3 linked regions of the Diceros bicornis minor genome follow. The protein of the gene in region 2 purifies or fractionates together with the protein of the main gene of each other region. This does not show direct contact. Links are inferred from orthologs where the notes say so. Each region holds a gene or a part of one and is shown on either strand. Other genes may lie near its edges.

What was found.
Region 1: the proteins of SLBP (region 2) and MIF4GD purify together in Homo sapiens (affinity purification with western blotting; 3 studies listed by BioGRID and IntAct, with this or other methods). This does not show direct contact. The link is inferred for Diceros bicornis minor from reciprocal best matches to the Homo sapiens genes SLBP and MIF4GD.
Region 3: the proteins of SLBP (region 2) and CTIF purify together in Homo sapiens (affinity purification with western blotting; 3 studies listed by BioGRID). This does not show direct contact. The link is inferred for Diceros bicornis minor from reciprocal best matches to the Homo sapiens genes SLBP and CTIF.

The regions. Positions count from the first base shown.
Region 1 is NC_080757.1:55,775,990-55,783,999, reverse strand, and holds the start of MIF4GD (MIF4G domain-containing protein), read left to right. Parts: upstream 1-4,987; 5' UTR 4,988-5,063; intron 5,064-6,032; 5' UTR 6,033-6,076; coding exon 6,077-6,164; intron 6,165-7,271; coding exon 7,272-7,381; intron 7,382-7,591; coding exon 7,592-7,747; intron 7,748-7,837; coding exon 7,838-7,930; intron 7,931-8,010. Other genes in the region: SLC25A19 (mitochondrial thiamine pyrophosphate carrier), read left to right, coding at 213-343, 2,293-2,475. UniProt on the Homo sapiens protein: Functions in replication-dependent translation of histone mRNAs which differ from other eukaryotic mRNAs in that they do not end with a poly-A tail but a stem-loop. May participate in circularizing those mRNAs specifically enhancing their translation.
Region 2 is NC_080747.1:1,095,603-1,102,748, forward strand, and holds the start of SLBP (histone RNA hairpin-binding protein), read right to left. Parts: upstream 3,045-7,146; 5' UTR 3,020-3,044; coding exon 2,961-3,019; intron 2,853-2,960; coding exon 2,736-2,852; intron 1-2,735. Other genes in the region: TMEM129 (E3 ubiquitin-protein ligase TM129), read right to left, coding at 5,629-5,877, 6,006-6,165, 6,877-7,146. UniProt on the Homo sapiens protein: RNA-binding protein involved in the histone pre-mRNA processing.
Region 3 is NC_080755.1:41,178,875-41,186,871, reverse strand, and holds the start of CTIF (CBP80/20-dependent translation initiation factor), read right to left. Parts: upstream 3,047-7,997; 5' UTR 2,894-3,046; intron 1-2,893. UniProt on the Homo sapiens protein: Specifically required for the pioneer round of mRNA translation mediated by the cap-binding complex (CBC), that takes place during or right after mRNA export via the nuclear pore complex (NPC).

The sequences.
Region 1 (8,010 bases), on a different chromosome or scaffold from region 2:
CCCTTCTGCCACCAGCCTGACCAAGTGCTGTCCCTTGTCATTCTTGCCGAGTATGGCTGTGTCTGAATCTCTCTCTCCTGGATTAAATTCCTCTGAGATGAAGGTTGCTTGTGGGCTTTTGTTTTATGGTAGAGGATTAGACCTCATGACTCTGAAGTTGTCTACCCTAGTTGTCTCTCATTTTTTCCCTTAATCCCACTTCTCTGGTTCAGGGAACCTCAAAAACCTGCTTTGTGGCAGTGGAGCTGGAGTCATCAGTAAGACCCTTACGTATCCCCTGGACCTCTTCAAGAAACGGCTGCAGGTCGGAGGGTTTGAGCAGGCCCGAGCTGCCTTTGGCCAGGTGAGCTGTCCCCCGGTCCCTGCCCCTCACTGGGCACATGAAGAACCAGGTCAGTTCCTGCCCATTGGGCAACATTAGGCCCTACAGCGCTTTGACCCCCGGCCTGTCCCCAGGGATCCCCAAGCACATGGGAAAGCCACACGCAAAGCCCTGTGTATAGTAGGCACTGTGGAAAGATCCAGGCAAAGGAAGCTTCACAGTGTCTGCTCTTAAAAAGTGTCCAGTTCAGTTTGGGATGAAGAGTATACTCACAATAGAAAGGTCCCCAAAATATTAAATAACATGGAGGAGACGCATTGGTGCATGGGGTGCTTTTTTTATGCTGTAGGTATTCCTGCAAAGGGGTGAATTTGATCAACTAAATTATATTTTAAATGCACTAGAAGAGTTTGTCATCCAAAGAATCCCTGTTGTAGGTAATTTTGTAATGTTAATAGACATTCCTTAGTTGGCTTCGATTTTCACATATTGGATTTTTATTCACGCCTTTTGGCACACTGATTTTGTGAAAGGCCTCGGTGGTGGGCAGTGGTAGAGTGGGGGTGGGGCAAGGGTGGGTAATCCAGGGCCTTCCCCCTGGGACCTGGGAACCTGGGATGTCAAGGCATGAAGAAACATGCCTGACAGATGTCAGAAGAGAGGGACACCATGGAATGGGAGACAGGGAAGAGAGAGAGTGCTCCTGACTTGGGGGAAGAGAAAGAATTGGGTTTATATTTGTAAGATATTTTCTTTCTAGAAAACTTTAGGGAAGTCAGATAGACAAAAAGAAAGATAAAAATCACCTGTAACTCCACCACCACCCACCCAGAGATCATCACACAGAATCTTTGGCTGTAGTTTTATTTCTTTGCATAAATAAATACATGTGTACATTTTAACAAAAATGGGGTTGTATACAAGGTGGTTTTTTTTTTTTTTTTTGGTGGGGAAGATTAGCCCTGAGCTAACATCTGTTGCCAATCCTCCTCTTTTTCCTGAGGAAGATTGGCCCTGGGCTAACATCTGTGCCCATCTCCCTCTACTTTATATGTGGGACGCCACCACAGCATGGCTTGACAAGCGGTGCATAGGTCTCAGCCTGGGATCCAAACTGGCGAACCCTGGGCTGCTGAAGCGGAGCGTGCAAACTTAACCACTACACCACCAGACTGGTCCCTATACAAGGTTTTATAACCTCCATTTTCCACTTGCCAACTTGTCCTGAAGAGACAGCTTGAATTTGAATAGGGAGAGTTGGTGAGAGCCCAGGACAGAGGAGGGAGGCCCTGTTCCTGATGGAGACTAGTGTGAGCCAGATTGGCTGGAGGTGGGCGGGGCCCGTGGGAGGACCAGTGGGGGATAAGGGCCGGTCAGGGAGGGAAGTTGAGGCCAAATGGTGGAATGCCCAGGCCGTGGAGCTTGGACTTGATTCTTTATAATGTTGTTGTCATCATTGTCATCATCATTGGAAGTGACTGAAGCTTTTGGAGGGGAGCAAGGCTTGAGTAGAGCTGTGCCTTGGGGACATGGGTCTGGCAGCAGTATGTGGTCAAGTGGAGAGGGCCAGGCTGTAGGGGTGGCACTGGTCAGGCTAAGAGCTAAGAAGGGGCAGATTCAGATCTGCTGCCCAAGGGGGACCAGGTGGGATGGGGTGAAGGGTCAGAGGTGCCTCTGGGAAGAAGGTCCAGAGCTCTCACTGGGTCCTTAAGAGCCACAGTCACTGGGAGCCTCCTGGGCAGGAAGGAGCTCTGTCCAGTGCTGATTTCCCGGCACTTCATCTGTTAGGTCTGAATTAGCCCACTTGGAAGAGAAAGAATGAGGTTAATGTATTCTCTGTGTTTTTTGCATTCATTCCTTCATCCAGCAAGTATTTATTGGAAGCTATGATGTGCCAGGTGCTATGTTGACAAAAGAATAGAGCCAGTCACCTCCTCTCTCCTTAACTGGAGTAACCTTCCTCTCCCCAGGTTCGAAGCTACAAGGGCCTGCTGGACTGTGCCAAGCAGGTGCTGCGAGAGGAAGGCGCGCAGGGCTTCTTCAAGGGCCTGTCGCCCAGCCTGCTGAAGGCTGCCCTCTCCACCGGGTTTGTGTTTTTCTGGTACGAGCTCTTCTGTAACCTCTTCCACCACATGAGGAAAGCAGACAGCTAGCCTTGAAGGCAGGAAGGGTGGCCTGAGGTCTACGGTGTCGTGTTGCACTGAGAGGTGCTGCCTGTTCCATTCCTTCAAGCCAGCTGTCTCGAGCTTGAAGAGCTGTTGGGAGCAGGGCAGCAGCTTGATCCCACCAGCTTGGACGCCACCAGAATGGCAAGGGGTTCCTCCAATCAAGAGCACGGGGAGAGCGCAGGACTTGGTCTGTGGGATCCCAACCATGCCAGTCGGAGGAGCTTGAGGTTGCTTCTCCTCTGTTTAGCCTACGCTTGCTCTAAAGGAAACAGCTGTCATCCTGCACATATTCACCCCGTCTGCCCAGAGAACACTCCTGGCTCTGGGTGGGGCTGCAGCTTGAGTGTGAGGGCGGGGATCAGGCCCTTTGCAGGGGTCTGGTCCCCACACTTGGGCTCTTATTCCCACCAACTTATTTAATAGACATTAAAGCTAAAAGCACATTCCTTATCTTACTCCTCCATCTTGCCTTCCAAATCCCTCCTCACATAGTTTGAGGGAAGGGATCCCTGCCTTCCTCAAATTCCATTTTTCTCGGTAGTTGCCTTCCTCAGGCAGCTTTGCTTCTGGTTCTGGGGGAAGAGTCCAAGCTGAACTGGTCACTTTATAAACACCCTGTGCCCAGATCTTCGTGTCTGTAAATGTCCCACTCAGGCTTCTCTCCCCCTGAGGCAGGACTGGTCATGGCCATGGGCCTCTAGGGAAAGCAGATACCAGCAGCCCCGCAAGAAGGGGGGAGATGCGCTGATGGGCAAGAGGTGTGGGTAGAGTTAGCAGCCCTTGTCCCCAGTCTACTGGGATCACTCCTCTTTCACGGGGGCTGGGTTAGCCCTCTTGGGTGGGTGGGAGCTTACAGCTGGGCCAGTTGGCATCAGCTGTCCGCTCAGGGTGTTCCTCCTCGGCTTAGCATGGTGCTGTATGTATCCTCTGTAACCCGAAAAGGGCCACACTCTGAAGCAGCCCAGTGAAGGGGCTGGTAGAAGGAAGGGGTTGGGCAGACAGCCTGGTGAGGGCACATTTGGTGCCCTGGGGAGTTGTCAGAGCACAGGAACCCACAACAGATCTTCATCTAGGCATAGAGGGGAAGGGGAGAAGAAAGTCTGCAGAACACAACTACCACCCTTTCCACCCCAGTGCTCCCCACCCCCGAAGGGAGCTTGGTCTTCAGCGTTGGTTCTACAGGGGGAGCCAGGCTGGAGTCCCATGCAGGACTTCCACTCCACCCCCACCTCTGGACTCTAGCTCCAGCCTTTGCACTGACTCACGAGGAAGGCAGCAGCTGGGAGCAGGCCTTGTGTGGGTGACATGGCCCTCGCTCCCCATGGATTCTGGGCTCCTTCTCCCAATGTTACTGCCCCATCTCTGGCCTGGGGGCTTGTGTTATGTCTGGGACCCTGAATCCTGAAGCTTCCCTCCTCTTGGCTGCTGATTATGAAGGTCCAGGCTGTGGCTGGAGGGCACTCCGACACCCACAGGGTTTGGGGCCCTCAAGGCCTGGGCTTGGGGCTGCTAAGAGGCAGCTGCCTGAATGTATTTTTTATAAAATTCAATTGAAGTAAACTTGATTCTCTTCATCTCTCCTGCTCATTGGTTTCTTTTGCTGCAGCTGAGAGTTCTCTTCCTCATCCATTGTCTGTGACCACTTTGGTGGCTTCTTTAACAGGGGGAGAGAACTTTGGCAACAGGAAACCGCCATCCACACTTCTTTCTTGTCTAAGCCATGGGAAGAGGCAGTTCTTTTCCAGCCCCTGCTGTATGCCCTCCTGCAACCTAGGGCCAACCTCAGGGATGGATGGCCCTGTCTGGGCTGCTGGGCCCGCACTCTCCCCCAGCCCCAGCCAAGAAAGACCGGGCCAGGGGCTTGCTCAACTTTAGGGTCACTCCCAGCTCCTCACGCGTCAGAAGTTGGCAACTGGGACCCTCTCTTGGTCTGGCCCATTGATTTCAACTTACTTTACCTGTATCGTTTGTACATTGAGTAGGAGAGGAGGTTAGTGGGACTTGATCCAGCCGTTACAGCCCCCCTGCCTTCTCTACCTTAGGGGATGGGAGTGGGGGGCACACCGCCACCACTTGTGAACTCCAGCCCTTCCAGCCATCTTCTCTGCCTCCTCCCCGCCTCCCGGACACCCCCACTCCGTGGTCCTGGGTGCGGACCACGCCCTCCACAGGTTTCTCCCACGCAGAGCGGCTGGGCCGAGTCTCCTCTTCTGACCCAATTTTAACCTGAGCCTCTGGCGTGAGGGCGTGGGGGGGGCGCGGTGCCACCGCTTAAGACTGAGGGCTTCAGGCGGGCGGAGGAGCAGGTCCGGCCCTGCGCCGACGAGCCGTTGTGGTCCTGGACAGACCCGGGGCGAGCCGGGTGAGGAGAGGGCAGGGCTGGCGAGGTCAGGGTCGCCGGGGCTCCGGCAGGGGGTGCTGGCGAGGCCGCCCCGCCCCGGCGCCGCGCTAGGAAATGACCTAAGCGGTGGCAAGGCGCGGCCGGCTGCACCAGCAGCGCCGCCGACGCGGGGCGCGCGCACCATGCCCGCCGGGCTGCCTCCCGGCACGCGGGCGCGGCGCTGGCCCGGCAGGTGGGTCTCGGCGCTCACGCCCCTTCTCCCGCCCGTGGGACACTGGACGGCGGCGTCCGCTACCGGCCCTGCGCCGCTGGGAAGGGCGTTCCGGGCTTAGGGAAGCTGCCCGGGTCTGGAGACCCCCAAGGTCGTCTCCTTTGACCGGGGGGACGCACCGAGTCCGGAGAGGGGACTCTAACGGGGACTACCTCTGGAGGACACGTCATCCCGCTCCCCTCTTTACAAGGAAGGGTCCAGAATGGAGCTCAGGAATTGGGAGTCCTGACTGGGCAGGGCCGGGTTCTTGCCACTTGGGAGGCCAATTTAACCAGTCCGTCCTGCGGAGAAGCTGGCCAGGACAGGGGGAGTTCGGGCTCGCCCGTCCGTGGGGCGGCAGAGAAGGCTCCTGCACCCACCCGGGCAGGCTGGCCCCAACCCGAGTGCTGGAGGGGTGGGTTTTGTGGACTGCGAAGGACTCGGACTGACGCTGAGGGAGAAGCTCGGGGAGAGAGGCTTGGAACCCTGGTGAGACAGAGCTGTCGGCAGCTTAGAGCCCCCAGCCTTTTCTCTGTCCCGGAATCGTGCTGGGCCAGCAGCTTCCAGGCCGGTTTATATAGGTAGGGCAAGTGTCTAATATCCACCTATCTACACCCCCAGCTCACCGCACGCCACCGCACCCCAACCTTGGTATCAGCTGGGAATAAGTCTGCCTCCTGTTGGGACAGGCACATTTCGCCCTTCATCTCTTTACTCTTATGTAATCCCAGAAACTACAGGGGTTCCTAAACTGAGCAGCAGGTGCCTGGCTGGTGGCCAGTCTCCACAGGAAGCCAAGCTTGGTGGACTCTCAGCCAACCACTGAATGTCATGAACCTCCCAGGAGCACCTGTCCCAAGCGCTGGTCAGCCCCACCCAGGGCCTGCAGGACTGGGAACCCCAGCCCCATGCTGCACACCTGAGTCCTCTCCCTTCACCTCTCCTCCCCAGGTGCTGTCATTAGTCCCACCCCAGTAAAGAGCTGCTGGGGCTGGATGGTCATGGGGGAGCCTGGTAGAGAGGAGTATAAAATCCAATCTTTTGATGCAGAGACCCAGCAGCTGCTGAAGACAGCAATCAAAGGTGAGCATGGGGAGCCCTCCTGAGCCTGGGTCCAGTGCTGCAGAGAAGGGGCCAAGGGGACAGGACTAGAGGACTGAGCCCTAGGCCAGGAATGCCCAGCCCTCTCCCTTCGCTTTCGGAGGAGTCGGCAACATAATTCTCGAACTGGAAGACAAGCTACATTTAGGCCAATATTTGGGAGTATGAATCAGAGTCACCTCTCAGACTGTAAAGCCTTTTTTAAAGTTTAAGTACCCATGAAAGGGGTAGGGCACAGAGAACACAGTTCCTGCCCCTTAAGTCCTTATATCGGATCTGGTTTTTGCGTTGCTGCAGTCAGCTCTCTTGAATGTGCAGAGCTGCCTGACTTGGGACAGAGGATGGAGTGTTCTGCTTGGCAGAGGAGATACAGTAATTGTCCTGGACCGATGCCTTCCTGCAGCACTCAGGACAGAAGGTTGACTCAGCTAACAATTAGCCATGCCCATCAAGTGCCAAGTGAGCCTATGGGACGGGAGGCCCTGCCTGGCCCACTTTTGTCAGGGGTTCATGTGTGTGTATTATAAGAACACTTTCTTCCATAAAATTGCTGTTGAAGACATTGTTTTTTGGTGCTTCTTCCTCAACCTACTGGCAGGAAAAGATGTGTGTCCTAAAAAACTAGCATTTTTACTTTGATTAGTCTCTAACAGCCACATTATCTTCCATTTCCTCTGACTGGGCCACCAGGAGGCTCACAGCTAGAGCTGCTCTTGTGTGGGGTTACTGTCCCCCTTCCCTGTTTTCTGGTCTCTTTCAATGTAAGCATATAATGGGAGTGCTCTTTGCTCTTTTGTAAACATCTCAAATCCTTCTGAAAAGCAGGTAGAGGGGCCGGCCCTGTAGCCTGGTAGTTAAGTTTGCGTGCTCTGCTTTGGCAGCCCGGGGTTCACAGGTTTGAATCCCGGCATGGACCTACACACCACTTATCAGGCCATGCTGTGGCAGGCATCCCACATAAAATAGAGGAAGATGGACACAGATGTTAGCTCAGTGCCAATTTTCCTCAGGAAAAAAAGAAAAAAAAAGCAGGTAGAGGCAAATATGATAATTAAACAGCTCTAGACTCCGTGCCTATCTTTACCCTAGATCCAGGTGCTGTGGACTTGGAAAAAGTGGCCAATGTGATTGTGGACCATTCTCTGCAGGACTGTGTGTTCAGCAAAGAAGCAGGACGCATGTGCTACGCCATCATTCAGGTTGGGTGGGGTTGGCAGAGAAGAGGGGAGATGCTTTGAGGAAGGTGCTTCAGGAGTGGGCAGAGACCTGGCCAGCAGGGGAGAGATGCAAAGGGCTTCCCTCAGAGGCAGAGAAAGGAGTAGGACAGGCAGGTCCTCAGCCGTGGTAGCTTGGGTGGGGTTACAATGGCACCGCCCCCAGCCACTCACGGTCTTTTCCCTGACTCACAGGCAGAGAGCAAGCAAGCAGGCCAGAGTGTCTTCCGGCGTGGACTCCTCAACCGGTTGCAGCAGGAGTACCAGGCTCGGGAGCAGCTGCGAGCTCGCTCCCTGCAGGGCTGGGTCTGCTATGTCACCTTTATCTGCAACATCTTTGACTACCTAAGGGTGAGGCCCCAGCAGCCCCCCTGTGCAGCAGAACGGCCTGTCTGCCACAGCCACTAAGCCAGTGCTCTGGCCCCCGCTCTCCCCCTACAGGTGAACAACATGCCCATGATGGCCCTGGTGAACCCTGTCTATGACTGCCTCTTCCGGCTGGCCCAGCCCGACAGTCTGAGCAAGGAGGAGGAGGTGGGTGGCCCTGGCACGGAAGGCTGTGGAAGTGGGCAGTCTTTGGCTCAGCTCAGAATGCCAGCACACTGGCCATGGAG
Region 2 (7,146 bases):
GTGAGCTAGAGGAGTACTTGTGGGGATACAAAGGACTTTTAAGGCAATATAAGGATTTAACATTTTATCTTCAGCTAAATGGGAGACCACTGGAGGACTCAGAGCTCCATCTCAATGACAATGTTTGATTACCTTCTCTTCACATCTATCCCCAGGGCTGTCTAGGCCCTCTCCTACACTCACACCTCCTCCCAGATAATCTCACCTAGTCTCAATCTTTAAAAGCCATCCGTATACGCTGATAACTCACATTTATATGCTGATAATTCACATCTGTGCCTAACAGGAGTGGTCTCCTCCATTAAGACTCTTAGACACCATTAATTTCTTCATATCTTCTCTTGCTCGTCTGAGAAGTTTCTTAAGCCTACCCACTGATTCCTTCCCCGTGCCAGGTCTGCTCCATCCCCATTCCCTTCATCTTGGCAAATGGTTCCACAAGCAACAAAGGTGTTTAGGCCTAAAAAACTGGAGTCATCCGTGACTCCTCTCTGCACCCCCCAACCCAACAGCAAGTACTACGAGTCCTGCTTTAAAAAGTCCATCCTGAGAGGGCAGCCCGGTGGCGTAGCGGTTAAGTGCGCGCACTTCGCGGCTGGCAGCCTGGGTTCGGATCCCGGGCGTGCACAGACGCACCACTTGTCAAGCCATGCTGAGGCGGCGTCCCATATAAAGTGGAGGAAGATGGGCACGGATGTTAGCCCAGGGCCAGTCTTCCTCAGCAAAAAGAGGAGGACTGGCAGCAGATGTTAGCTCAGGGCTGATCTTCCTCACAAAAAAAAAAAAAAAAAAGTCTAACCTGAACCATACCTTTTTCACCACTCCCTTCACCTGAACTTAGCTGCCCCTGCCCTCGTCCCTCTCTAGTCAGTCCCAAAGAGGCCAAATATGTCCCCACCTGAGGGCCTTGGCAGGCGAATCCTCACAGGGACCACCTCCCATTTCGTCCCAGTCACCAGACGTAAGGTCCCTCAACCGAGGCCTTCAATGCCCATGGGCTCCGAACAGCACGCTAACCTTCACCACCATGATCCCCTGCTTCTTTCTTCAGCCACTCGGTGTCCCTCTGAAATACCTTGTCTGACTTGCTGACCCACCCACATTAGCGTACAGACACAACAAAAATGGAAATCTCATTTGGTAGGTGTCTTGACCTCCCCAACACCCTGACCAACCTAGAAAATGCTCAAGTAAACACATAAATGCCGCAACAAAGGCTCATCAGAATGAAAGTACCTAGGGAGCACGAGGATGGAAAGACAGATCTGGAGCTTAAATCTGGGTTTGCATCCTGGCATCCACCTTTGGTGACTCTGGTAAGATACCTAACTTCTCTAAGTCGACAGTTAAGAATGAACCTGACTAGGGACCGGCCCCGTGGCTTAGCGGTTAAGTGCACGCGCTCCGCTGCTGGCGGCCCGGGTTTGGATCCCGGGCGCACACGGATGCACCGCTTCTCCGGTCATGCTGAGGCCGCGTCCCACATACAGCAACTAGAAGGCTGTACAACTATGACATACAACTATCTACTGGGGCTTTGAAGGAAAAATAAAAGTTTAAAAAAAAAAAGAATGAACCTGACTAGCTACATTAGAATATTCTAAGTTTACAGTAGCTCATGATGCTGTCCCTGGAACATAGTAGGGCTCACTCACTGAGATTGAGACCCGTATTTGTTGACACCCGTCACTGGGATACATCACAGGATCCTCAAGCACCTCACAGACACGTCGTGGCACACAAGCACCTTACCTAGTTAAGCGTGGTGAGGCACAGGCACTTTAACTATTCACGTGTGGTGAGGCATATGCACCTTAACTAGTCAAGTGTTGTGAGGCATAGATGCCACGACTCGTCAAGCATTGTGAGGCATAGGCGCCTTAACTAGCCAAGTGTGGTGAGATACAGGTGCCTCAACTAGTCAGGTGTGGTAACCCCTAAGTGCCTTAACTAACCCAGCACTGTGAGGCACAGGTGACTTAACTAGTCATTGCATGACCTACAGGAGCCATAGCTAATCAAGTGTTGTGACACATAGGCACCTTAACTAATTGGGGTGGTGACCCACAGGCCTTAGCTAGTCAGAGGAGCGACCCACAGGCGCCTTGACTAGCCAGGAGGATGACCCACCGGCCTTGACCTAGTCAGGGTGGTAACCCACAAGCCTTGACTGATAGGGGTGGTGACCCACAGGCGCCTTGACTAATCTGGGACATGACCCACAGGCTGTGACTACTCAAGGGAAGTGACCCACAGGCGCCTTGACTAGTCAGGGGAGTGATGCACAGGCACCCTGACTAGTCTGGTGGTGACCCACAGGCCTCGACTAGTTAGGGAACGGGTGTACATGTGACCCACAGGCCTTAACTAGTAGGGAGGAGGTGGCCAACAGGCCTTGACTAGTTGGGGTGGTGACCCACAGCTTTTGACTAGTTAGGGAAGAGGTGTACATGTGACCCACAAGCACCTTGACTAGTCGGGAAGGGGGTGACCCACCAGCTGTGACTAGTCTGCTGGTGACCCACAGGCCTTGACTAATCGGGAGGCTGGTGACCCACAGGCCTTGACTAGTGGGGAGGGAGATGATCCACAGGACTTGACTAGTCGGGAGGGGGGTGACCCACAGGCCGACACTGCTCCAAGGCCCAATGCCCGCCTCCCCCGCCCGCGGCGGCCCGAGGGAGCCCCGCCGGGCATCGCCTGACCCCTCGCCGGCCGGGCCGGGCCGGGCCCACCTGTCGGGTCTGCGGTCGCCCGCCGGCCTCGCGGGGCCCTCGGCGTCCTCCGGCTTCCTGCGCCTCCCGTCGGCTCTGCGCTTCCGGCCGAGGCTCCATCTCGCGGGGGGCGGCGGGCTGCCGACGAGAGGCCGCGTCAGGGGCGGACGGGCCCCGAGGCCCCGCCCGGCCCCGACCCCCGCCCGGCCCCGCCCGGCCGCCCCCCGGCGCGCGGCCCGGCCTCACCTGGCGTCGCCGTCGCAGCGGCTCCCGCACCGGGGGGGGCTTCGCGGCCGGCAGGCCATGGCGCGCGCGGGCCGAGGCGGGGCGCGGGGTCCGGGCGCGGGCGACGGCCTCCTCGCGGCGCCGGCGCTGACAGACTGCGCGCGCCCCGCCCCGGCCGCCTTTATGCGCCGCGGGCCCCGCCCCCGGAGCGCCCGCGCGCCAGGCCGGGCGCGACCATCGGCCACCGCGGGGGAGGCGCCGCCGCGCGCCTCGCGGGCGGCCCGGGCCGGGGCGACCGCAGCCCCGACGCCGCCGCTGGAAGGCGGAGGGCCGCCCGCCGGGGACGGAGGGGAGGCCGAGAGAAGCGGGCCCCGCCGGCGTGAGGCGGCCGCGCCTTCGCGGGCGAGGGAGGGGTATTGGCGGGAGATTCGGTCGCGCGCGCCGCGGGCGTTAGGAGGGGGCGGACTCCGATTGGCCGGCCCGGCGGGGCGGTCTCCGCGCTGGCGGGAACCGGGAACCCGGAAGGGGAGGCAGGCGAGCAGCGTCGGGTCGCGCGCAGCGCTGTCTCTTCAGCTTCGGCCGGAACTTGTTCGCGCGGAGATGCCCGCGCCGCGAGGCCCGTCAGTTCTCACCCCCGCGGTTTCCGGCGCCGCCTCCCGCGCTGACACCGCGATCTCCGGGGCCCTGGCCCGGCCTCATGCCGTCAAATGCTAACGTGTGCAGAAGAGAGGAGACGAGGCCCCGAGTGGCAAGAATCAAACACTGAAGCCGCAGAGAACTCGAGTCCGCCCGTCGTGTTTCAGCCCGTTATATGCACCACTTTCCTAAAAACGTTCGGGTCTGGCAGTGACGTGGGGGCAGCGAGGGCGCTGTCGAGGAGCTCCCCCGGCCGAGATCCCGGGCGGCCGGGTGTGGCTGCCCTCCTGGGCCACCCAGGCTACCCGGCACCTCAGGGGACACGGCCGCGAGCACGGGGCCGGAGGCCTCAACCAGCAGGCCCCGCACCCGCGGGCTCCTGCATCCTGAGCGCTGCTCACGGACCCCGCCCCCAGAGCCCTGGCCGCAGCCCCTTCACCGGAACACCAGGCCCAGGCCCAGTGCGCCCACTCCCGCAGGTGCCCCAGAAATGGGCTTCTTGAGACCCCCGCCCCAGCTAGGAAATTAGAAGGGAACTTCCTGGAGCACCCGTCTCCCTTCTGGTTCCGAACAGAACGCACACGTTGAAGTGGGCACGACACTGCCACTTCTAAGTTGGCTTTTCCTCTTTACGAAAGCTCGAATACCAGAAAACCAAAATATTCCGTTTGGAGATAATATAAAGTTCAGACTAACATTTTATTAAATATGTATTGCTTTGCTGCAATAGGTGTATCTTCATAAAACTAAGTAACTCTTTTGTACTAAAAATTACCGCAGACCCAGCCCTCCCTTGGCAGCACCCAAAACTTCAAGCTGAAGCTGAGGGTGGCTCCTGGCTGGCCCCTCTGATGGCCTTCATCTGCTGAGCACCCTGCGGGCACACAAATCTGGGCCTTCTCCGCTCCCAACTCCCTGGGGTTCAGTGCAGCCTTGGGCAATCCAGGCCAGCCGGGTCCATCAGCCCTGCTTAGGATGACCAGGTTTAGAGTGCTTAAGGCCCCAGGTTTCAGGGCTCCAAGCGAGGGCCCCTCCAGCAGCCACATATGTCAGAGCTGGGGACTGGCACTGCCCTCCCCTGGCCAACTGTGCCACCAGGAATCGGGAAGACACCTGTCCACACCTTGACCACTGGGCATGTCCCCTCCTGAAACAGATGGACCCTGGGGGGCTGTGGCCAGCCCTGCGCTGTGTCCCAACAGGCTTGTTGGCTGATGTTGGCTGTCTCAGTGGCACTTGATCTTCAGCTCAATACCCACGCTCGGCCAAGAGTCTGAGGCTTGGCCTTTCCCTGAACCCATGGGGGCAGCAGCAGATGTAAGTGCACGCCCCTCCAGGAGCGGGTGGCTCCCAGAAACACACAGGAAGGGAGCTGCAGCTGAGAGCAGCCAGCCCTTCCCCCAGCCCCTGAGGGGAAGCCCAGGATCTCCCTGGGCAGAGAGCAACCCCTTGGCTGGCTGCAGCCACTGGGAAGCTCTAGGCAGTGCTCTCACCCTGGAGCAGTACCCCAGGTCTCCCCCTGCACCTGCAAGCTCTGCCTGAGTGCTCAGAGCAGCCTCTGGGGCGGGGGGCGCGAACACCACAGGGCCAGCAGCAGGCTTGGGGACAGAAGCAGGAAGAAAGGCTTCGGCCAAGTCTTAGAGGAATCTAGATCTAAAAGTAACTGAGAAGCAGGTGTGCTCCGTAAAAATAAGGCAATTGGCTCACGTTAGACACACTGGGACCTCCCAGAAGACAGCTCAGGAGGCCCAGAATGCTCTGGATATGGGCCCAAGGCTGTGTTCTCTGTGCCCAGCACAGCCCCACCCAGAGAAACGGGAGCGAAGGAAGCAGAGGCACTCAAGACCTTCCTTGCTGCCAGTGCCAGGACCTCAGCTGGAACTTCCTTTCCAAACAGGAGCCCTTGCACTTCCACAGCCTCAGAGCAGAGGCAAGTTGCCCGCTGGGAGAAGAACTCTGGGCCTGGGAGCCTGGCTGCTCCCCAAGGCAGTTGTGGGGACCCTGGCACGGCTGGCCTGGACCAAGGCTGCTCCCTTGCCAGGGCCTGGCCAGCTCAGCGCACAGCGCACACATCCAGGATGCAGAAACGCGCACGGCAGGTGGGGCAGGGCACGCGGCTGGCCAGCCAGGTGTCAGGGTGCTGCGGGTCCTGGCGGCTGGCGAACCACTTGCCCATGCAGGTAAGACACCACATGGGGCGGCAGTAGCACTGCTGGCACTCGCCCTCAGCTGCCTCCTGGCACGTCTTCACCAGCTTCACACTGGCACGAGTCTGCATGCAGCCAATGCAGGCCTCCAGCTCCTGCAGGTGGGCCGAGGGGATCACGGGGAGCCTGGCCAGACGACCCCATGGGGCCCCCCACCACCCCAGGGACCTGGCCCATAGGAGCTGGGCTATGGGACCCCGCCCACCCCTGCCCAGCCCCTCACCTGGCTGCTGGGAACCGAGTAGGCCGGGTTGACCGCCACCAGAGAGGCAAACGTCTCCAGGAACAGGTCACCCAGGCTCTGGCGGATGACCACGTTGGCCGCGCTGCGGATGGGCGCCTGGAGCTTCTCACACAGCTCGCCGTACTCCGTGGAGTTCAGCCTGCAGGGAGGCGGGGCTGCTGGGCTGGGGCCGCTGGACTGAGGCCCCTCGGCAGGGCAGGACCATCATTTCCCGGCAACCTGACACAGATCCTGGGGCAGGTGGCAGGGAGGCCAAGGCTGTGCCCCGAGGGTGACCAGGGCACCACAATCACACAGAACATGGGGACTCAGGCACAGCCCAGCTGTCCAATGAAAACCAGCCAACAGAGATGGCCCTGAGGCCAGAGCCCACGGACCCAGCACTGCCCACCTGACCCCACTGGCTGCAGAGAGAGACAAAAGGCAGGCCAACTGCAGCTGAAACACAGCAAGGCTGGTCCTCAGCAGACCCAAAACGTGTCTCAAGAGCTCAGCTGGAATGGGACACAAGACCTCAGCTAGAACCCAGACCTCAGAGCTGAGGCAGCCACCAAGCGTCTATCCTGTACAGCCACCAAGTGTCCCCAACATGCTCCCCAAAGAAGCTGAAAAGGCAGATTCAGAGAAGAGCTTGGAGAAAGAGAGAGGAAAGGGTACTTGTGGGGCGCAAGGGGGGCAAGGGATGAGGGGGCCAGGGAGGGGCCTGGGGGGTGCAGTGGGGGCTCTGAGGGGGAGGCACTGGAGGGATGGCTGCAGGGGCTGCTCCACACATCATCGCCTCCCGGGGGGCACAAAGACTGGAACCTGGGCACTGGCTGGCTCACCCCCACCTGACCTCGGGCATGCCTACCGGATGTCGAAGGCCCGCACGGCAGGGCTGGCGCTGGCCACGTGGATGGTGAGGAGCTGCACCGGCAAGTTGGAGTCCGGCGAGAGCTCGTGCTGCTGCGACTGCGTCACTGTCAGATGCACGTCCTGCTGCTGGGCCACATACACGCAGTACGTGGTCACCTTCATCACCCACGTGTCCGTCACGATCACACGGGCTCCCGGTGCCCCCGTGGCAAACTTGTCGATCCGCCGGAACTCGGTGTTGACAGAGGAAGCAACGGCCCGCCAG
Region 3 (7,997 bases), on a different chromosome or scaffold from region 2:
TTTTGACAAAGAATAAATACCAGCATAATTTACCCCCTTTCTCAGGTTCAGTACCTCCTGAGGTGTGAAGACCTACTCTCCAAAAAAAAAAAAAAAAATAACTGGTCACTATTTAAATAAAAAGCCATAGGGCAGAAGAGAAATCAGAAAGGGTGGGGGTGGGGGAGCAGCCCTTCCTCTACTGAGAGGCCTTAGGCAATCAGGGCACTTTTTGACCCTCAGTGTGCTCATCTGTAAAATGAGACTAATACCCCCCCTACCTGACAGGACCGTCTTAATAAATGTGATCATACAAGGAGAAAAAAACTGCCCTGTAAAGTCATACAAACATATTATTATTCTAGCAATCTCTTAATCACTGATGACACTGTACCCCAGAATGAGTTACAAAATTACTGTCTCTAAGCGTACATTATCCAGGACAGACACTTGACACAGCCGATGAGATGAGCTGTGTGTAAACCGAATCCTGTTTCAAATACTCAAAGGGAGTTTCCTCAGGCAACCTGAGTGCATCCTGTGAGGGACTGGACATCTTCTATCGTCTGCTCGGTGCATTCTGTTCCCGTAAAATTGGGTTTTCTTGAAAGCCAGGCAACTTCCTCGCGCGGTCAGAGCATGCTCGGAGCCGAGATTCCTGAGGTTTTCGGCCCAGACCCGGCGCTGGGCAGGAGGAACCGGGACCCGACAGCCCCGGCCCCTCCCCGCCCTCTGGGCGGCTCCTTCCTTTCTCCTCCAGCTCGGGTGGCGGCAGCGGCGGCGCTCGTGCTGTGTCACTTTCGCCCTCTGGAGTCTTCAGCTGCCGTGGAGCGGGCAGCTCCAGCGGCTTCTTCCCTTCGCGCGCGGGCCCCTAGCCTGGGAGATAATCCCCCGACCGGAGAGACCGAGCGCCGGCCGAGAGGGCAAAGGCTGGCGGCCCGCTGGACACTGGACAGCGGCGCAGGCGGCAACGCCAGGCTGGGCCCGGGCCGGGGCGGCCGGGCAGCCTTTGATCCCCACTGTCTCCAGAACCAAGAATTGGGAGCCGGGTCGCAGAGCGCGCTGATTCTCTCCAAGGTCTGCGCAGGCAGCGGCGGGCGCACGGGCACGCGCACCCACAGAGCGCCCCGGTGCAAGGGTCACCCCGAGCGTGTCCGGCGGGCGGCGGCGACACGCGCGCGCCCGCGGCTCCTGCCGGCCCAGCCAGACCAGCCCCCCGCGCCGCCGAGGAGGCGGCCAGTCCTCGGGGTCAGGGGGCGTCGGGGACGCGGAGTGAGGAATAGTGTGACTCTGGCTGCAGGGCAGGACGGGGACTCCCTGAGGGACCCCGCTCACATACAACGCCGGAGTCTCCCCCGGCCCACAGTCTCATGACCCCCTCTCCAAGTAACCAGGGTGCGCGCGCGCGCGGACACACACACGACGACGAGCTCAACTGGCGCCACGAGGGGGCTGGCAGGGCCAATCCCCGCGGGGGATCGGGGCCCACGCGCGTCCCCACTACGCAGCGGTCTGCGGTCCCCGCCCCCCACACATACACGCCAGAGCGGTGTGTACACACAAACAGCTGGGCGGGGGAGGCGATGCCTCACTCCCCGGGGTGGGAACGCACGCGGCGCCGCCATACATCCCTCCCCTCTACACGCCGCACCACCCTCCCTGCTTACACCTGTGCCCCCAGCCCCAAAACTCAACGAAACCAAACAGCCAACGCCGCCCAGATGAGGGGTTCAGACCTTCGATTGTCTTCTAACGTCAATGGAGAGAAATAACCAGCTCAGACGCGCCGTACCCGGGACCCCTTCTCCAGTCGCACCCAGGCTCGGGCACGCGGCCCTCAGGGGCCCCAGACCTCCGCCGCAGACCGAGCCACCGCCCCCTGCCCACCCTCCCCCACTACCGGCGTCCGGGACAGTCACCTGCTCGTCATCCCGAAGAACCCAAGCCAGAGCCCACCCTCGGCCGCTCGGGTCACTCGCCACCGCGAGCTAGCTTTTCAGAGCCTGTCAACTTAACCCCCAATCCGCCAGGCGGACCTATTCCCCAGGCCCAATTACACCGCGGCGACGGGAATAATAATAAAAATGCCAACAGAATCACCACCGTGGGGAATGTCCAAAGCAGCGACAGCAATAGCTCCACCGATCCGGTTTCCTCCTCTGCTCCCATCCCCCGCGCCCCCCGCGGCCCGCGGGCTCGCCGGGGACGGAGGGAGGGTGCAGCCTGTCTAGACGACAGACATCCCCGCGCCCGCGGGGACGGGCGCGCACACACACGGCCGCTGCCACAGACACAATCAGTCACCGGAGGAGGGAGGGGCGGCGTGGAGACACTCTCTCGGGGTCTCTCCGGCAGCCGCGAGTGCAGCAGCCTCCGGCCCTGAGCCCCCGAGCCGCGCTCCCTACCTCAGCGGAGCGCAGTCAGAACAGCTGCAAGTTTGGCTGGTACTAACCAACTGCTCGATGCAGCAAATGCGGGCGTCAAAACAAAAGGGAGAGGAATCACGCTCGCTCTCTACCTCCCCCCGGGTCGGAACCCGGCACATGACAGCGGCCACACCGCGCGGCTCCAACGCGAGCCGGGCTCCAGCCGTGCGCCCCCCAAGAACCCCCCTCCTCACCGGAGCTCCAGGGCGACGGCTGCCCTCGGGGCAGGGAACCCGGCAGGGAAGAGGCTAACCTGGGGAGCGGGCGAGATCATGGAGTGCCGTCCTCAAGAGAGTGGGGGACGGTGGATGGGCGCGGACGCCCGGCTGCCCCGGCGCAGGAAGGGGGGAAGGGGGCTAATTGTTTGGGGCGGTTTTCCCGGATTTATCTATAAGCACGCGCACGTCACGCAGCCCTCCTCCCGGGTCCCCGAATCGATGGGCAAGCTGAGATGACTAAAAGAGGGGGGCAGACGAGGGGATGCTCACCTCGGGGTTCCTCCGGCCGCCGCTCCGAGCCCGAGTCGGGGGGTGGGGGGAGGGGGCAGGGAAGGGGAAGGGAGGGAGAAGGCTCGGAAGAGCCGACTCCTGCCTGGAGTTCCGCGCGTCCCGGCTGCGGAGGGGATCGGGCGCCCCAGCGCACAAACCCAGCCGAGAGGGGAGGGAGGGAGGGAAGGGAAAGAGGGAGGGAGGGGCGGGTGGGGGGGAGGGAGTAGAGGAAGGAAAAAAAAATGAACCCTGCTCTGACACAGGGAAAGAGAATGTAGGAGAGTGACGTCCAGGCCCCACCCTCCCCTCCGGCCACGTGCAAAGACTTGAAAGGAAAGAGGGCGGCGGGAGGCCTGCTGGGTAATGTAGTTCGCCTTTCTTTCCTAGGATGGCGGGCCCTGGAGAGCCGGGCGCCGCCGGGACGCCGGGGATGCAGCCAGAGCAGCCGCGACAGCTCAGCCGAGCGACGCCGAAACCTGCCGCCCTACGCTCGCTCCCCCAGGACGCTGGGGTGGGGGCCTCTGCGCTGGGAGAACTGGGGTTTTAGGCGCTGTCCAGGATTGCAGGGAAACGTTTAGTTTTAGGGGCTGGAAAGCTTTAAAGATGAGGACTTCCGAGCTTCAAGTGCAAAGTCTGTCCTAATGGCAGAGAAAAGGAAGCTTTGTGTATGCACCGGGCGGCCCAAGTGGCATTATTAATGCTGCATTAAAGGCTAACGTCTGTTATTGAGATGCATATGTTATAATTAACATTTGAACATCTCCGTGGCAGGGGCGGGATGTTGTAATTAGATATGCACTTTGCAACCAATTAATTTTCCATTGGCCATGCTAAGGGCTGGGACGGGGGACGACGAGGTGGCTGGGAGAATTCAATGCAATGGATAATTCAGTAATCACTTAATCAAATCACCAATGTTTTCAGACTTCCTACTAGGTGCCAGCCACTGAGCTTGGCACAGAGAGGCCTTCAGGAGAAATATACCATGCTGGACACCCCTGCAAGCAAAGGGGTTATACAGTCATTGGAGGAACTGTGTGACACAGTATAACTGCCTTAGAAATCCACTTATTAATTCATATAACATTTGGTGGGCACTTTCCACAGACTGGATGTGTCTGGGAATGCCAAGACAAGTAAGACCCTTAGTCCCTGCCCTCAAGGAGCTCAAAGTCTAGTGTAGGGACCACAGTCAATGAAAGTATAAGGGATAAGTCAGCATTGAACATAGGGATAAGCGTAAAGTGCTAGGGAGCCCTTAGGAGGAGCAGCCAACCTGGATGGAGGGTGGGTGGGTGTGGGAGAGGGTCTGGGAAGGCTTTCGGGAGGAGGCCGTACTTGAGCTAAGAATTGCTAAGATTTTTAACAAAGGCAAAAAGGAAGGGTAGGCATCTGACTAAGGCTACAGAGTATAAAGGATCCAGATGAGCGAGAAGAGAGCGAATTCTGAGAGTCCTAGTAATTCAGCAGGGCGGAAGGGTAGATGGATGGGGGGCAGAGGTGGAGGATGAGTCTAGAGGGCAGAAGGAGCCTGGGACAGCTTCTCACTGGAGGACAGGCTTGCAGTGGGCCTTGAAGGATGGGTGGGATTTCATTTTGTGTGGGGAGCCTGTCTTCCAGGCTTGAGGCTCAGCATGAGCCAAACCAGGGAAGGAAAGCAAAACACCATCACAGTCACATCCTATAGGGCAGCTCATTTGATTCTTGTACAGTAGTCCCCCCTTACCCACAGAGGATACTGGAGGAAACACCCCCCCATGGATGCCTGACACCTCAGACAGTACCGAACCCTGTATATTCTATGTTTTTTCCTGTACATACACACCTATGATAAAGTTTAATTCATACATTAGGCACAGCAAGAGATTAACAACAATAACTAAGAATAAAATAGAACAATTATAACAATGCACTGTAATAAAAGTTACCATAGATCTTAGCAACCTCTGCATATGATTTTTTTTCTTTCCTTATTAAGTTGAGAACTTTCACCTTTTCACCTAAAGGAAGCACTTTACAGCTTCTCTTTGGCATATCGGAATTGCCAGCATCACTACTCTTGTGCTTTGGGGCCATTATTAAGATAAGGGTTACTGTAACACAAGAACTGCGATATTGCCAAGGTTGATTCGATAACCGACAGGGTTACTAAGTGGCTAACAGGCAGGTAGTGTGTACAGCGTGGATACGATGGACAAAGGGAGGATTCACATCCCGGGTGGGTCGGAGCCGGTCGGTGCGAGATTTCATTACGCTACTCAGAACCTGTGCAATTTAAAACTTATCAATTGTTTATTTCTGGAATTTTCCATTTAATATTTTCAGACCACAGTTGACCGTGGGTAACTGAAACCTCGGAAAGCGAAACCACAAATAAGGGAGACGACTGTACCAAAGGGCATGGAGGTGTCATCCCCTCCCTTCTAGAGGAAGGCAGCAGGCCCACTGTCATGCACTGGTAAGAGGCAGAATGGGTACTGGGAGCCAGTTGTCTGGGTAGCAGGCCCAGTCCCCCTGCCAAAGGAACATAGTTGAGCACACCTGACTCTTCCCGCTGGTTTGTCGCTCTTAGCATTTATGGTTCATTGACTCAGCAGTGTGTTATTTTTATGCTTTAACATCTGGATGATTTCCTGGGTTTACAAAATATAAAATAATAGTACCAGAGTCTATCCACTCTGCAAATTCCCACTTACCTGCCTTTTGTGCTGTTTTGCACATTGTGCGAGAGGCCCGCCACCTGCAAAAAAACAACAATGGAATTGTCTAGGTCTTGGTTTTGCCTTTGCTTTAAATCACATCCCAGAGGTGAGGAGAGGATCCACGCTGGAGGTGGAGAGAGGCTGAGCAATGTGCAGAAAGCAAAACCTTGGTGGAGAGTACATGCATCTGTGTGAGGGGTGCACCTGGGGTGACACGGCCAGTGGGAGCAACACAGACTGCAGAGCCTGACCCCTGGGTTTGAATCTCAGGTGTGGCACTTCCTGGATCTGCGACCTTGGGCAGCTTACTTAGCCTCCGAACAGGTGACCTTGGGCAGCTTAACAACCTTTCTTGGCCTTGTGAGAACCAATAGTGATAATGCATTTAAACTGGCTCTGTCACATAGCAAGTGCTTGGTGATAGCTGATTCCTTTCCTCCTCCCAGAGTCTTTCTGGGCCAGGAGAATGATCCCTGAACTTCTCTTTCTGCAGAGTCAGGCCAGCAGAGCTGGTGCTGCATGGAGGATTCCTGGGGTGGGACTCATCTTCATATGAAGTAGGTTAGGTTTGTCTTCAAGGAAACTTCACCCAGTTCTAATTCTCACATTCAGCTGGCCCAGCTTTCTAAATCCTCACCAGCTAACAGTGCTTATGCTCTTCTCCTCCTCGCCCTGCTACCCAAGGACCACATAGTGTTACCCCACCCAAGGTGCCTTCTCTGGGCAGTGTCTCCGGCCCACACTGCTTCTCCCCACCCATCGAAACTTACCTCCTGCTCTCCATATACTCAGAGCCTGGCTTCTGCTTTACGTCCAGTCTAATAAACCTTCACTAACTATGATGAGATAGTCTTTTCATTCTCCCCTCCAACCCCAACATTTTTGTCTTCTTATTGCCATCTCTCTGAAATGGCCTCTGATGATGGGGATTCTAGGCTGGAATGGGGTCTTTGAAGGAAGACTGTGGGTCCCTAAAATTTCCCAGGGTGGGAGGCCTGGAGCTTACTCTGTCCCTCATCTGTTGTCCTTCCTTCTCTGCTTTGTGGTTGATCTTATGCCCAACCTGCAGGCTTAGGTCAGAGGAGCCACTGGGTGCAGAATTAGTGAAATGACACTGCATTGGTTTAATTGTGGAAGACTTGAGTTGCCAAGAGTTGACTTTGTCTGACTTGTCACTGCATAGCCTAGAAATTAACAGCCAGACTGTTTCTCTCTGTTTTAAGCAGTTGATTTCCCTAATTCACACTTGCCTAAGATAGTAGCAAGTATCTTGCTAGTATATAGCAAAAAGAACTATTTCTCCTTTCTTCCCATTCTTTCTCCTTCTCCCTACCAGCTTTTCCTCCATCAGTCAAAATGTTTATTGAAGGCCTGATGGTGTTACTGAGCCCTAAGGGACCGGTGACCCACAAGTGGGTCCTTTTGCCCAGAGCCGCTCGTGCCAATAGAATGAGACCGGGTTCGGAATAGCAGAGCAGAAACTACTCGTTGATCAAGGAATACGGAGAAGGAGAGCTCACGCTCTAAGACACCTTCTCTTCAAGGTGACCAGGGTTCTTATGGGATGTGAAGGGGGAGGGGCCTCTGCGTCATTGCTCGGGCAGGGGCATTTGGGGCATGCGCAGATCTTCCCTCCTTGCACGTGGCACTTTTGCACGCGGTTGCTTTTGCCAAGGGCACCCTGTCGCCATCTTGGACCTTTCTGGTTTGGACTGGTTCTGCAGTTTGGCCATCTGGCAATGTTCTGCCTTGGTTCCTATAAGCAAGCACAACTTAAAAACAAAGCATTAGACATGGAAAATGTTTTGAGGACTTCTCTAGGTGACAGTGGGAGCCTACCAGAGTGCAAGGGGAGAAAAATTACCTGCCTTCAGGAGCTAAGGAGACCAGGCTGGCAGCCATGATATAATAGGGAAACTGACGAAGTGCTATACTGTGTGAGGGTGATTTTAAGGGAACAAAAAGTTCCTGGTAGGCTGGAATGGTCAGAGAAGGCTTCTGGGAGGAAAGTGGGACTAGATCCACTTGTAACTTCCCATCAGGAGGAGGTCAGCAGTGGCCTAAATCCCTATGTTGTAGCATTGACCTGGGAGGCATTGCAGAAGTTATCTTTAGGTGGAAACCAGAGAATGGGCTCATCAGCATCAGTTTGGTGTCCATCGACCCTGCAGAAGGAAGGAAGTTACCGGTCTAGTGTCTACGCTCTGTTACTGTGGTGTTGGCCTGGAGAGATAATGGCTTGATAGAACCAGGTTGAATTTCACCCAGGCCTCATCTCAGCTTCCGCCATACAACCCCCAAAACCTACACCTAAAAGGCAGGTGTAAAGTGATCCTCTAGGGTGAAAGTCGGTGGTGGAGGAAGGGACGTCAGTAGAGAATGATGAGCTTGAGAAACGCAAA